Linked DNA regions of Nothobranchius furzeri. The protein of the gene in region 2 interacts with the protein of the main gene of each other region in a pairwise test. Links are inferred from orthologs where the notes say so. Each region holds a gene or a part of one and is shown on either strand. Other genes may lie near its edges.

Region 1 (7,933 bases), on a different chromosome or scaffold from region 2:
AACTAGGTACGTTGGGTACGCCAGGGAAACAGCACTTATAATTTGACACGGAGACAGAAATATAGTTTATAAAAATCTATATTACTATATTTCTGCTACTAGAATGAAATGACAAATGATTATGTATGCCGAGTTAAGGTGATATCAACTGAATGAGAAAGGATGAAATACGAGCTTAGATGCTATGTTAATAAACCTAATTAAGTCTTAAAAGATTGTGATGTCTGGGTTGTAAAAGTAGTTTAGCTGAATGCTTAAAGAGCAAGTCACTCCAAATCAACATTTTTTTTGCTGTTAAACTATAAATGAGTGTCTGATCGTGCTGTAGACAAATGTAGTCAATAAATTTGGCACTTTAGTGCATCTTAGTTAAAATTTAAATTTTCTGCCTAAAACGGTCAACGATGCACGTCATCAGGCAAAAACTCTGCACTGCGTTTGAATTTAAATCTGCCATTGCTATTGGCTAAGAGGTACCCTGATGTTAGATGGGACATTATGTCACAATGTCGTGAGTGTATTTGTTAGCGGCTCCACCCTCTGTTTGCTAGGCAACAGCATTTGTTGCATTTTTCAAACAGGAAGTGGGAGTTGAGAAAGAATCTGGTCGGGGGTGACTTGCTCTTTAACAAATTATTAAAACCATCCTGTCGCCAGGTGAGAGACCACGATTACCCTTGTGATGGAAGTTCTAGGTAGGTCCAGCTGGCTAGGGAGTAGTCAGCTTGCTGTTGGGAGGAGTTGACTTCTGGAAGGTCAAAGGTCGCAGCTTCCTTTGAATTTGCACAACTGGCCAGTGAGATACATCCAGGTCTGCTGGCGAGATGTTGCACGTCTGAGAGGTTTCTCTGATGGGAGTTTTGCAAAGAAGGATGGTTCCTTATGCTACTGACCCAGTTGGCCTAACAGGACAGCGTGCTAGAACTGAAGAATCCAGGAAGTAAATTGTCTTTTATAAAACGGGTTCTTTACAAAGTTAGACAAACCAGTATGTAGAACGTCTTCAGACACCACTTCGTTCCTGCAACACTTAGAGGCTCATTACACTTAACATGAAGTAAATCTGTTATACAGTCATTATCAATATAGTAATATTATGTGAATATACTGATAATAAATCATTAAATTCAACAAGTAGAATCATGTGGTGTTTTTAAGATCTGAAATAAAACATTTCCAGAATAAACATTTATGTTGATTCATTCATTACTGTGATGCTGTCAGTATTATTGACTGTAAAGATAGGAAATTATTTTATGAAAGAGTGTTGAATTAAGAACTTTATTGACACAACAATGTAAACAAACATAAAAATATTATACAAACAAAACAGACGGAAGAAGAAAAGCTGGGACTGCTTCACTTCTGGAAGGTAGCGTGCAGGTGAGCTTTGAAGGCTAGAGAGAGAAAAAAAACAGTCAGAACTACAGCTCCCAAAATCGTTTGCTGCATGTACAGAGCTCACAAACTGGTCTGAGGTCAGTTCTACATCTGTATCATCTGCAGGTCATTTAGTTCACTCCAGGAGAAAACAGGCTCAGCTCAGTTTAAAAGGACAGCTGTCTGATTGGCTGCAGAGGAGGTTGAACCCAGCAGATGTTTAAAATGAAAAGGAATAAAGTCACAAAAGGAGTCCAAAAAGGTTTCAAATGAAGGCAACTGGACTTCTCTGGCTTCTTGAAGACGTTTTGCTTCTCCTTTGAGGAGCTTTGTCAATTCTGACTGGAATCTGTTATTTAACGAGCCGAAACTACTCTGAGTACCCCTCCTCTCTACCCACTGAGTCGTTGGCCTCTATAGACAATAGGCAGCTACAGCTTATAAGCTTGACTCTCCCATTTCCAGTTAGAACTGACAAAGCTCCTCGGATGAGAAGCGAAACGTCTTCAAACCAAAGAAGTCCAGTCACTTTCATTTGAATCCTTTTGGGTTACCATGACCTGGATGACAGAACCTTCACCAGCAAAGTCACAAAAGAGAACTGCTCAAAAGTACCCAAACACCGATTGTATTAGTAGCTGGCCGTTCTCTGGGTTCTGCTGGCTGCCTGAAAGGTTGTGGGTGTACTTACCACCTTGGTTGCTCCACAGTTCTGCTGCGGTCGTGTTCAGAGGACTCTCGTTGTTTGGTTCTGGGGAATACAGAAGGAATTGTGTGCTGCTCTCTGAGCTGTGCAAAGATGGCTCTGATGGATCCATCAGGTTTTAGCAGACAGCAAACTGGTGGTTCCGGTTACCTCCCAGTAGACTCTGGATGGACAGCAGGATAGAACGAACATCGTACAGTGCCGACCACTTGTCCTTCAGGATGTCGAGACAGATGAAGCCCTGATCGTCCACATTGGGATGGAAACACGGAGTGACGAACTTTACCCGAGGAGCATGGTACGGATACCCAGCTGGAAACTCCAGAGACAGACGGTACCGGAGGCCTTCGTACACCTGGGCACACAGGTAAGAGTGTCGGGTGAATCAGAGCAGCAAGTGGAGGGGTCAAGTTTTAGATCGTGCTGTATTTATGTGGTCATACTGTTCCTTGGGCTCCATCGATGGTTCCGACCCATTTGAAGAGATTATCCGATTCTGGAAAAGCAGAGATGCCCTTATCACCCGACATCTACAGGAGGGAGGAACGCACAGGTCACATGACCTCAGAAATATCAGGTTTTGTTGATTTTACTAATGTCAGGTATGTTGGTATTGATGCTCCTGTGTGAATGATCAGACCAGAGAAATCAATCACAGAAACAAACAAATCATTGATAAGTGTCTGGATGAGAACGGAGCAGCTGACCTGCAGATGACTAACGCCACCTGTGCACTTCAAGCTAAACACTCATCCTAACCAGCACCAACTCTGCATTAGTGTTGAGGCAGGAGATCGTGTGACTATGGGTGCATCAATCAATGAGTAAACACCACCACCCAATGAGGATGAACTTGTGCAGGTCATCAGGTTCGTTAACATTCTGACTAACAACTGTCCTGTGACCCGTTAGGATCGTCCATCTTTCATTTTGTTATTGAAACCAAAATAAAACTATAGATGTGAACTTACCATGAGAGTCATCAGCTCCTGCTGCAACCTACACACACACACACACACACACATACGAATTAAACAAGTGCAACACAGGTCCAGAAATAAGCTGCAGTAATAAGATCAATAACAGAACAATTTGTTTCACAAATAAAAAAAATTCAAGCACCTGATCAGTTAACAACTCAAACTTTCCTGTTTCATAAAATTCATTTTTGTGATGAATAAAACCAGGAGAGATCAGATTTCTTCAGTTTTAGGATCACTTCATTAGCTAAAATATCCAGAATTGAGTTTCAATTTTATTTCCAAATCTGAAGGATCACGCTTTTTCGATTAATGATGCTCTTGTTCCAGATGTTCCCAGCAGAACACTTGGCTCTCAGGCTGCTTTTTACTTGTGGCTTCAACTTTCCAGCGGTCCTAAAAGTAGTAAGGAGGCAGAACTTCCAGTTCTCAGGCTCCTCTGGTGGAACCAGCTTCATGTTTCCACCACATCAAGCAGAAGCACCTTTGCGTAGACTCTAGGTTAGTTTAGATTATCCTGGCACATCTCTAGTTATGCAGCTGCAGGCTCACATTGCTGGAGAACTCACTGGGTTATTGATATTTTATTGTCCAAAGAAGAACCAAGTCCAGCAGAAACGTAGACCGACAGATGGCGTTTCATGTGTGTTATATATCTCCAACTAAAGTTTAGAGCAAAACATTCACTCCCACTCAGAATTAACTGCTTCTACGGAGCCGCTGGTTCTGAACAACATCACACACACACACACACACACACACACACACACACACACCACCTTAGTTCCATCAGTACACAGTGTTTAAGTTATTCTTGTTTAAATTGTGTAGAAGTACATTTCTTTAACTATTTTAAACCTGACTCTCTCTCTTTCCTTGGAGTTAGTACAAAGTGTTGCTTAATCCCTGCAATAAAAAGTTCCGATCTTCTGAACAAAGATCCATCAGATTGATATTTCATATTTCTATGGAATCTCACATTTTATGGTTCAGAAGTAAGATGTAAACGACCCATTCTTTACACCTGTAAGGTTCCGGTTCTGTAACGGCCCGGAACTCACCGTTTGGTCACCGAGCCTCTGGTCGCGTTGCCACTGCTTTCGCTGCCTTTCAGAGCGGCCGTGGAGGAAGCTGCAGCCGCGGCGGGGTCCATATTCTGGGAGGCCATGAATGCTGCTAGTCCGACTCCTGCCGAGGACACAGATATAACATCAGACGGACTGAGCAGGGGAGGCAGGCCGAACCGAGCCGATCAAATCCAACCGAGCGGGCCGTAGCTTCTGTAGCTAACAGCAGCTACATGCTAACTCCCGGAGATTTCAGAGAAAACGCTGAGCCGTGCCTCGTGGTACCGGTCAGAACCACTGGCTCTTTGTCTTCATGCTAACACATGATTACATTTATAGCCATACTATAGCTGATTTAAACACTCACCGGTGTTCAGTTCGTGGTGGAAGGCTGGATTCTCTAGATTCAAACCGATTCTTCTGCCGCCCCCAGTTTAAAACGACGTTTCCTCACAAACAGCCAATCAGTGTCTGACTTTCAAAAAATGAACTACCCTCATCGAACCAATGAGAAGATGGTGATTAAAAAGCTACACTGTAATTGGCCAGTAGAATCAGCCAGAACCCGCCCCCACCATCTAGGCGTTCACACAGCGGAAGTCATTGGTTCAATTTGTTATTTTAAACGCGTTTTTTAAATAAATGAACTTAAAATCTAAGTTATTAAACACATTTTTGTTTACCCCTCCTCCTACAGGGATGTATAAAATCTCCTAGAAGAGTCAAGAGCCTAAATCAAGTTAAATGATGGATCACAAAAATTGGAGCTTGGGAGGATGAGTACACCTGCAGAGGGTCAGAGGGGAATATATATATATATATATATATATATATATATATATATATATATATATATATATATATATATATATATATATATATATATATATATATATATATATAATGAAGTGGCTGATATCAAGAAATCCTACCAAGAACTAGAAAGAGCTGGTCTGAAGAATAGCACAGAGGCACTCATCATGGCTGCACAGGAACAGGCCCTGAACATCTACCACACCAGACAAGACCCAAGGTGTAGAACCCTGAGACAATCCACCACATAACTGCAGGGTGTAAGATGCTGGGAAGGAAAGCATACAAGGAACGCCACAACCAAGCTGCTGGCATAGTGTACAGGAACGTCTGTGCAGAGCATGGACTGGAAGCCCCAAGGTCAAAGTGGGTAACACCCCCTAAGGTGGTTGAGAACAAGAGCCAAGCTCTTGTGGGACTTCCAGATCCAAACTGATAAAATGGTGATGGAGAACCATCCGGACATTGTGTTGGAGGACAAACAACAGAGGACAGCTGTTGTGGTTGATATAGCGATACAAAGTGATGTAACCTCAGGAAAAAGGAGCATGAGAAACTACCTGGGCCTCAAAGAAGAACTTGAGAAAGCCTGGAGAATGAAGACATCGGTGGTGCTCATGGGCATCAGGGCAGTAACCCCCAGACTGGAGGAATCCCAGGAAAACCATCTCAGTCCAGAAAAGTGCAGCTCTAGGAACAGCTAAGATACTGCAGAACCCTCAAGCTCCCAGGCCTCTGGTAGAGGACCCAAGCTTGGATGAGACCACCCGCGGAGGGTGAGATGGGAATTGTGTGTGTGTGTGTAAGCCCATGTTTATTTTTTCAAAGCAACAATAATACCACAAACCATAAATACAAAGTGAACAAGAAAATGAAAGTTTTTTGTTGTTGCAACCAAATCCCATTAATTAGGAAAAACAGGTTTTTAAACTAGAATACAAGAACAAAATCACAAAGGTAAAAAATAAAATAATTTTTCTCTATTTAATTCAAGGATTAAAACTTAACATTTCAAGTATTTTTGTGAATTTTCTTTGAAAGGTTAAAAATGATGTCATGACAATATTTTTCTTTTTAAAGCATTTTATCACCATATTCTCTCACAATGCCCCTCAGACCTATCTGGAACGTTTTAGGACTTTGTAGCACCTTCACCGTATTATTTAGAATTAAACTGCATCATTTCACAGATCCCATAATTATTTGAGTCACTGGCGCACGGCCCCACCTGAATCTGAACAAAAACACAAACAGAAGTTTTCAATTAAAGTTTATTGTTTAGTGCAAATAATAAAAAAAGTTTCCAAACTCGTCACATTTTCATTTTCACAAAGTTCAGTCAGCTTAACGACTCAAACCACTCACCTGTCTGGGTCAGCTGGTGGACGGAGCTTCACTCAACACATCTGCATTCCATCTGGTCAGCTGATTTTCTGTCTCTGGATCAGTGAACCAATCACAGTCCACAACCTACAGCAGCCAGTCCTCAGAGACCGATGAGCGTAGGTCTCCATCATCTGTTACCGTGATGACAGAGCTCGGTATCGGTCACATCCAAAAGAGGAATGCAGCTCCATTTGTCCAAAACCAGTGACCTCTCACGGACCACTGAGCAGGACCTAGGTCCGAGTTCAGCCTATAGAGTTCTGATATGGTTCTGATCCACTTTGCTCCAACTGCAGCTGGATGACCCGTTTGAGTTCTGCTGCTCTCATCTGGTCTACAGTGCATAGAAACCAAAGGAATTCAACAAACAAAACAAAAAAACACATGACTCAGAAATGCAGCAGCAGAACATCACCTGACCCCTGATCTTTGACCCCTGACCTGCTCCAGCTGCTTCATCTCTGAGCTCAGCCTTGATTTATTTTCAGGAGATAAGATTTTGTTTAATCAACAGTTCAGCAGCTTGTTTCATCCAGAAACCTCCAGCGAAGTTGTCTTTTCATCCCTTTGTTTCCCATCTCTTCGGTGAAATGTTTGTTTTTTAGTCTCTGATCCGAGATCGGCTTCCGGGTCGATGGGACTTGCGTTAGTCAGACAAAGTTTCCACTCAGCTGATTTCTGCTTCCTTGTGATACACAGAACAACTCACCACAGCTTCAGCTTTAAATCAGATAAAGATGAATCCTCTGAGCTCCTCACCTGTCCTTTCAGGTCACAGGTGAGACTCCAGTTGAAATTAGTCTGCTAGTTCAGTTTTTACCTAATGTCCAGGAAAATCATCTCAGATTTGCCTCTTCTATCCAACAGTGATGGGAAACTCCCTTTAAAAACAATTTTAATCCTGCAAACTACAAACAATCACCTGAAGAATTCTCACCTGGTGCTAACCCCACTCATACACAATCTAAGGGAGGTTAAGCCTTCACAGCTTTTACTTTGAAAGGACTTTCCTTTGTTTCCACTGTGTCAGTGGGCCGAGTCTGAGCCAGCCCCACCCAGCTGGTGCCAGTCCACCCAGTGCTGACCTGGGACCAGCCTGTTCAGATGGATGAAGGTCTGCCCCAGCAGCGTGTTCTCCCAGAAGGCGCCGTCGCTCAGAACCCTGAGGTGGATCAAGCGCTGGTCCAGATCCCCCCGAGGGATGCGATCATACACCAGCTGTAGGAAACAGGGAGAGACATCGTCATTGTTACTTTACATTGTTACAGCAATAAAATTCTTCTCAGTGTAAAACCCAGTTCAGTCCCGGAATGTTCGGTTCTGTCTCTAAAGAATCCTGAGACTGAGGTCCAGATGTTTGGACCAGCTGATGTGACAGCTTGGCGACGGCAAATAGACTTAAAAGCTGCTTGACACTGGTGTGTTCGTGGATCTGACTGGAAACAAATTCAGAGTACAGTTTCAGATTTGCAGATTACGGATTAAAGCGATCGGAAGGAATTTAGGCCATGTTCTGTTTTTGCAGCATCACTGATTGCTGCATTTGACAACAGGTTGGTAATGTTGCATCAAAACGTTTGTAGTATTTATTACACGTTTTT
Region 2 (7,901 bases):
AGACCAGTGTGCATGTGCATATTGGTGCAAGTGATGGAAAGTATTTCAATAATTTAACACGTGGATACCAAAGAGCTAGCAATCCCACGAGGAATCTGTTCTTGCGAAAATAAACCATATCAGCGAGGTTTGTTGGTTCTGCAGCTGTCTAAACAGAGCGAGGGGAGGAGAGATCTCCTACCTGGAGGTGAAAACCTTGGAGCAGCTCACGGATTCCCCCAGGTCACACATAGCTCTGTAGTCTGGGTCTCTCTCTCTGGAGATTTCCACATGGAGGGCATAAACAGACAGACACAGACCGAACAAACACAAAAACACTCTCGCTTTTCTCTCCCATCTCGGTAAACCCTGACGCGCAGCCATAAGGGAGACTTGGAACTATTATTTGTGTCGAACTGAAGAACTGACCCCTGGAACCGAACAGAATCCTCACGCAAAGCAACGTGTTACGTGTTAGAAACGCCATTTTCACTTCTGATTGGTCTAATAGTGTTTCATCCCTCTCTCTCTAACTGGACGATTCGGTCCACGTGTTACAGCAGACAGGAAGAGTTCTCTTGTTTCTTATTATTATATTTTTTATTTAGTAAATTTACAAACAAACATGGCACTTTGACAATGTTAAGTCCAAAACTTAAATTCAAAAGGAGCAGTTAACTTGCTATAACATTTGTAAATATCTAGTAATAAGACAACAACAAGAGACAAAAGAACATAAAGAACAAGTAGAGTACAGCTTTCAATGAGGGTACAGCATTTATCATATAGAAATAGGAAATCACTTTGGAAGTTCAGCTAACGTGTTATATAGATTTTTGCTATATTTGTTGAGGTGTTTCAGAGATTTTAAACATAATTGAAATTCTATTAAAAAACATTGAAGACATGGGATGATTGTAAAATTCATTGTTTATGGGTACAAAATTGGTTGTTTCTTGTTTAAAGGGACTTTTCGGACTTTTGAATTTTTATGCTCGCGATTGCCCCCTCAGGCCAAAAGCGTAACGGCAGCTTCAATAGTAGGCTTGTGCACGAGGCGCGCATGCTGTACGTGCACACTCCTTAAGGAAAATATATAACAGCTGAGACAGTCCCGTGTGTGTGTGTGTGTGTGTGTGTGTGTGTGTGTGTGTGTGTGTGTGTGTGTGTGTGTGTGTGTGTGTGTGTGTGTGTGTGTGTGGCCCGGAGGACAGAGGACAAGAGAACACTCAGTTAATTAATTAAATAATTTGGTTCTGTACTCTTCAGCACAGCCGACAAAGGTTTAAGATGGGTCAGTCCTCCTGCATGCTCAGATCATTCCCTTCCCTTGCTTGAACAATTGTTCCAAAATGAAAGTTGAACCCACATCTTTTTTATTCGTGAATTCAATGCCTTTCGGTGAGTCTCAAAAAAAAATTTGGGCATCTTATTACTGTAAAAAACATATACCATCAATGTAAATATAGTCGAGTGTTCACCAAACTAGGGTTCTTATGTAAATCACAGAGGTGTGACCAAGTCACTGCTTTGCAAGTCACAAGTAAGTTACAAGTCTTTCCAGTCAAGTCAAAGACAACCAAGTCCAAGTCGAGTCCAAAGTCAATGATATGGAAGTCCAAGTCAAGTCCAAGTCCTTAACTTTGAATTTTCAAGTCATAATCAAGTCATCTGTCCAACTTCAATTGAACCCTCCTACTGTCCTAATGGGTGACCCCGCCAGGAAAGTTGACCATTGAGCAGGAATGACGGTTTATCCCTTGAGGTCCATGTGGCAGCAGGGGTGAGGTCATATAAACCATCAACCCTGCTCAATGGTCAACGTTCCTGGCGGGGCCACCCATTAGGACAGTGGGAGGGTTAATGACAATGATAATAAATAAATTCCAGAAATAAAGCTTCTTTAAAATCCATTTATTTGCTGAAACAAGTAAAAAGTGCAACTGAAATAGATTACAAACAAAGTGCTGCTGCATTTAGCAGAACAAGATCAAACCCAGAACGAAGAATGATGTAAGATTTTTGTTCATGTCATGTCCCTTTTGTGCTAAAATATGAAAAACGCTCAAGTCGTCATCAAGTCAACAGATGCAAGTCGATTCATATCGCAAGTCATTGGAGTTCAAGTCTAAGTCAAGTCGTAAGTCTTTATAGATTTTATCAAGTCAGAAGTCATTAAAATAAACACTCGAGTCTGACTCAAGTCCAAGTCGTGTGACTCGAGTCCACACCTCTGTTAAATCGTGTTGTTATAATTGAATACGACACATTTACCGGTTCTGGACAAATTGTGTTGCTTTGTTCAAAAAGTACAAAGTACACAAACCATGAAAGCAAATTAAAACAGTATTTAAAATTGGTATCATACGTAAGCTCACATCAAAAACGTGCCTCAACAGGCTAAAAGCTATTATTTTAAAAATGTCATCTTTTCTGAAAAAAAAAAAATTAACTAATGTAATTTGTGCTTTAATTCTATTTAGAAGGGGGGTTCAGTAAGATCTTATTTAAAACAAACTTTTATTAATTTTCTGCCGAAAGATAATTCCTCCTTTTTAGAAGTCTTTTGACTAATATTTTATTATTTTACCATTTAGAATTTGCTACAGTCCCTTGATTGCTCCATATACAAATTGTTTGTATAACACTGGCTGGTATTTTTTGCTCGATCGGAATCTGGCAAATTGCAGCGTCGCCACCCAAAATTAAATAAATACCACAGAGCCCTTAGTGTCCAATGTAAAGTCCCGCCCTCTTTAGACGTTCTCTATTCCTATTGGTTAGTTTTCTGGTCCTCCTCTCCTTTAATTGGTCCGCCGCTTGGCACTCAACTAAAACATGGAAGTGATTGAGGAAGCTGCAGACAAAACAACTGTATAATCGTGCAGGTTGGCGATTTAAAAAAGAGTGGACCGTAGGGGCTTTGCTCACGACTTGGACGCATTGTACGCAATTTGTAAACGGGGTTTCGAAGTGTGAAGTTTTGTTTTCATGTGGATGAAGTTATGGTTTTACGGCTCAAGAGAAACCTAGAGCCTCACGTAACGTTAACTAGCCGACGCCCCTGTGGGTTAGGCTGCTCCTGTCAAGTAAGTTATTCTTTGTTACCATGTAACGTCAATGTTTAAATGCTGTAATCATCCGCTTCAGTTGGGTTCGTCATCAGGCTTCTCTAAACACTAAAAGCTACAGGTTTGGTCTAAAAGAGTTCAATCCAGGCCTCAAGGTGTGAAGTAAACGAGGAACAATGCACTGCTAAAAATAAAGGAAACACAAAAATAAGACACCCTAGATCTGAATGAATGAAGTATCGTTATTAATCTCATGAGGGATCTCCTCCGAGATCTGGACTAAAGCATCCACCAACTTCTGGACAGTGTGTGGCAACGTGGTGTTGGTGGATGGAGCGAGATGATGTTCCAGATGTGCTCAATTAGACTCAGTTCAGGGAAACGGGCGGGCCAGTCCATAGCATCAGTGCCTTGTCAGGTGAAACTGACTGTTGCTTCCTAAGTGGACAATTTGGTTTCACAGAAGTGTGATTGACTTGGAATTACATTGTGCAGTTTATGCGTTCACTTTATTTTCTTGAGCAGTGCATTTAAACCAGGAGCACGTACGAGCTATCTCATATACTACATAAATTAATTAATGAAAAGGCAATAAAATAAAGATAAAATAATATTTTTAAGATGATTAATGTCTCCGTGCTGTTGGAATACACACACACACACACACACACACACACACACACACTCTATGTGTAACTTTTTCACAGGCTGGCAAAGTATGGGATTTTTTCCAAGTTCGGATTAGTACAGAAGAAAATGAAAAGACTTGAAACTCTACGTTTATGTTTATTCCCAGAAAAAAAATATGACTGAATAATGCATTATGGCAGTCAATGGCATAGATGCCATTAATTACAGTTAACAGCTGTGTATTAAACCTTAACAGAAGATCATTTTGAATTAAATTTCAAAAACAGACAGAAAAATGAATGAAAATAATAAAATAAGATCCAGAGTTGTCTAAAATTTGTGCAAACTCTTAATGCTTTTTTAGTGATTCCATTAATTTTTTTAAAATGACATCTGAGGTTACGTCTTATTTCTTCATAGACAGTTAAATGAACATTTTTACCTATTCAATAATCCCAGGTGTACCTCTGCTCAAATAATTTTTAAATGTTACCACAAACATTTTTTTCTTTGATTTAGCAAAACAATTTACTAAGTAAACATAATAACTTCAGAACATATTATTAAGGTTCACCAACAGTCTATGTTTTCATGGTTTACGTCTGGCCCATTTCATCAGTTGGTAAGAGTGTTTAATACCTTTTTTAAATAAGCAGAGAAACTTTGTCTTTATAAACATGTAAAAACTTAAAACGCTTATCAATCACAACATTGACTTCATAATCATTTATGTAATAATAAAATAATATTTGACAGATATTCAGAGAAGGACATGGGAAACAATATAACTTACGGACTCACTTTGGTACTACAGAAACATGTCCACTGAGCGCTGTGGAGATGCCAAAAGCACCATGTCGCCTGAAAAAATGGCCACCGAAAACAGCAGAGAGAGCCAGAACCAGCGTGAGGCCGAGGCAGCAGGCAGCACCTCAGACACCAGCACAGCAGCAACAAACCTGGCTTTGCTTAAAGCGCACTCTCTAGATGTGAAGTTCGATGTTGGGGAGGAGTACGATATCATAGAAACCATTGGTACTGGTGCTTATGGCGTCGTTTCATCGGCCAGAAGAAGGGACAACGGTAAGGAAGATGTCTTTAAAGAGTTTGGAAAATGTCCTCTGTTTGAAATAAGTCACGATGAAATGTTCTACATGTGCACTCCACAGGCAAGCAGGTGGCGATAAAGAAGATCTCCAATGCTTTTGAAGTGGTAACAAATGCTAAACGAACATTAAGAGAGCTGAAGATTCTCAAGCATTTCAAACATGACAACATTATTGCCATCAAAGACATCCTACAGCCGAACCTTCCCCACTCTGCCTTTAAGTCCGTGTATGTAATGTACTTTATTGTTTTTGTGATGCCAACTCTGCACATATCTGAACATTACACTGTTGCAAACACAAGATCCTTAGTATTTGGTCAGCTGCTTGTCTAAGTCATCTCTGTGTGTGCAGGTATGTGGTGTTGGACCTCATGGAGAGTGACCTACACCAGATCATTCACTCTGCGCAGACTCTAACCCCTGAGCACACGCGTTACTTCCTGTACCAGCTCCTCCGTGGCCTCAAATACGTGCACTCTGCCAATGTCATCCACCGCGACCTCAAACCCTCCAACCTGTTGGTGAATGAAAACTGTGAGCTGAAAATTGGTGACTTTGGCATGGCGAGGGGTCTGAGTTCACACCCAGAGGAGTCTCACTCCTTCATGACGGAGTACGTGGCGACCCGATGGTACCGTGCTCCTGAGCTGCTTCTGTCTTTGAACCATTACAGTTTGGCCATTGACATGTGGTCTGTGGGCTGCATCTTCGCTGAAATGTTGGGCCGTAAACAGCTTTTTCCTGGGAAACATTATGTGCACCAGCTCCAGCTGATTTTGAGTGTGCTAGGCACTCCTCCTGAGGATTTGATCAGCACCATTAGAGCTGAGAGGGTCCGTTCCTATGTTCAGAGTCTTCCACCGCGGACCCCTGTGCCTTTGGCTAAACTGTACCCCCAAGCTGAACCGGAGGCTTTAGGCCTATTGGCGGCTATGTTGCGCTTCAATTCCCGTGAACGCATCAGCGTGAAGGACGCACTGGAGCATCCTTACCTGGCTAAGTACCATGACTCGGACGACGAGCCCAGCTGTGTGCCAGCTTTTGACTTTGAGTTTGATAAGCTTCCAATGAATAAAGAACAAATTAAAGAGGCCATTTTGATGGAGATCCAGGACTTTCATAAAAAGAACCTGAACTGTCGTCAAAGACTCCAGTTCAGGCCTTTGCCTAGGGCCCATAGTGGAGCGGCAGCTCAAAACAGCAACCAGCAAAGAGCTCAACCAGTAAATGTGGACCTGAACAAACAAATGGCACAGCACACACAAATCCAGCAACCCAGAGATGTGAAACCTCATCAGCAACACGATCAGCCACCAGCAGATGTGAGCCAAGCATTTTCAAACCAGATAAAAACCTTTCATAAGCCTGCAGATCTTTTAGAAGTCGTCCCACCTCATGTGACCCATAATTTCCCCCTCCTCAGTAAAAGCCAAGCGTGTCCCGTTGATGTGGACATGCCCAGTGCCAACTCTGACAGTGGTCAGCTGGAGACAATTGATTTAACAACCCCAGTGTCCACTCAGGATGCTCCGTCTGAATCGATGAGAGTCAGCGAGTCCCAGCTGCCTCCTAGCACCCAGAGCCGGCCCGTGGCCTCCATCCCTGCGACACAAGCACAGACCATCACCCCCCTTCCCACCACTGTGCCTTCACTTTCTCTGTCGGCAGCGCAGGCCCAGTCTCTGTCCCAGTCACTTTCCCAGTCTCTGTCCAAGAATGCAAGGCCTCCTCCGCGTGCACCAGAGGGAACCAGGAAAGGCACCGCCATTTCAGACGATACTAAAGCTGCACTCAAGGCAGCCCTACTGAAATCAGCTCTCAGACATAAAGTCAGGACCGGTAAGTTCATTTTTCTACCATCCTCTCTGGTATGCTTCCCTTTCTCGATTTGATTCTGATTGTGTTTTGCAGATGGAGGTGTCTCAGTTCTGGGCACTGACGCGGTTATATCAGGAGGCATCTCGTCTTCTACTCCTGAGTTGCGGCGGCCTGTCACAGCCCAGGAGCGTCAACGAGAGAGAGAAGAGAAAAGAAGGAAGAGGCAGGAACGCGCAAAAGAGAAGGAGAGGAAAATGAAAGAAAAGGAAAGACGAGAGGGAAAACAAGGGGATTTGCTGGGTGGTGTTCTGCTGAGCGACAACGACAAAAGCCTGCTGCAGCGCTGGACGAAGATGATGGACAGCTGCAGCGACAAATCCCATAATGCTAGTAACGAGGGACCAAAGGGTAAGGATTGTAACTCACACAGATGTGTCGGCGAAAACGTCCTGAACAATAAAACTGACAGAGACGTGAGGAAAATTCAGTCAAATGAGCCTTTGGTCCCTCAGATGAAAAGAAACCAGCCGGGGCTGTTTCCTCCTCCCAACACGCAGCAGCTGCCTTTCTCCAAGTCTCCAGCAGATGTCGTCGCTGCTGTGAGCGGAGGGGTGGATATCATGACCGTCACCGGTGGATTAGTTAAAAACGGCTCACTCAAACCTTGCGCTGACAGCAGCATTCCGGGTGGATTCGGCTGTGGAGTGGGGAGTTGGAGCGGGCAGCAGCTGGAGACCAGGCCTTCTCAGCAACCCAACAGAACATCGCAGTCACCACCGAGCTTCCTCCAGCCTCATGGTCAGACCCAACACCACCCCAAACCTCAGCTGCAACCCCTCGAGAGTTTTTTGTCGAAAGCCTCGACGGTGAACACCCGAGAGATGAACGGGAACGTTAGAGGTCAGAACAACGTCAACCCGTTGACTACGAGCACAGGCCCGATGGAGAAGCTCTGTCCTTCTGTAGAAGAGAAAACACAGAGTACAAACCATCTCCCTGCGACGTTAGGAGTTCCCTCCCAGCCCCATCCCAGTTTGGGATTCACAGATACTGGTCAGCAGGGACCCCCCGCTGCTCCTGACATCAATAAAGTAACACAGCAGCTCTCAAAGTCCCAGGTATGCTTTTTTACAAACACTCCCTCTCCAGTCAGATTCTCTCCTCGTTCAGTTGACCCAATATTTTCCACTCTTCCTGTGTCAGGTGGAGGATATTTTACCTCCTGTGTTCTCAGTCACCCCAAAAGGCAGCGGGGCGGGATACGGCGTGGGCTTTGATCTGGACGATCTCCTGAA

What was found.
Region 1: the proteins of mapk7 (region 2) and ube2c interact in binary tests that used the Homo sapiens proteins (3 or more experiments, as listed by UniProt). The two-hybrid records come from large-scale screens. The link is inferred for Nothobranchius furzeri from reciprocal best matches to the Homo sapiens genes MAPK7 and UBE2C.

Annotation. Positions count from the first base shown.
Region 1 is NC_091743.1:77,060,599-77,068,531, forward strand, and holds ube2c (ubiquitin-conjugating enzyme E2 C), read right to left. Parts: upstream 4,607-7,933; 5' UTR 4,501-4,606; intron 4,255-4,500; 5' UTR 4,235-4,254; coding exon 4,128-4,234; intron 3,086-4,127; coding exon 3,058-3,085; intron 2,617-3,057; coding exon 2,530-2,616; intron 2,442-2,529; coding exon 2,237-2,441; intron 2,132-2,236; coding exon 2,072-2,131; intron 1,398-2,071; coding exon 1,360-1,397; 3' UTR 1,268-1,359; downstream 1-1,267. Other genes in the region: pik3c2b (phosphatidylinositol 4-phosphate 3-kinase C2 domain-containing subunit beta), read right to left, coding at 7,359-7,550. UniProt on the Homo sapiens protein: Accepts ubiquitin from the E1 complex and catalyzes its covalent attachment to other proteins. In vitro catalyzes 'Lys-11'- and 'Lys-48'-linked polyubiquitination.
Region 2 is NC_091756.1:34,355,026-34,362,926, reverse strand, and holds the start of mapk7 (mitogen-activated protein kinase 7), read left to right. Parts: upstream 1-2,807; 5' UTR 2,808-3,068; intron 3,069-4,494; 5' UTR 4,495-4,498; coding exon 4,499-4,763; intron 4,764-4,834; coding exon of another isoform or gene 4,835-4,849; coding exon 4,850-5,015; intron 5,016-5,140; coding exon 5,141-6,627; coding exon of another isoform or gene 6,628-6,699; coding exon 6,700-7,724; intron 7,725-7,809; coding exon 7,810-7,901. Other genes in the region: vkorc1 (vitamin K epoxide reductase complex subunit 1), read right to left, coding at 182-363. UniProt on the Homo sapiens protein: Plays a role in various cellular processes such as proliferation, differentiation and cell survival. The upstream activator of MAPK7 is the MAPK kinase MAP2K5.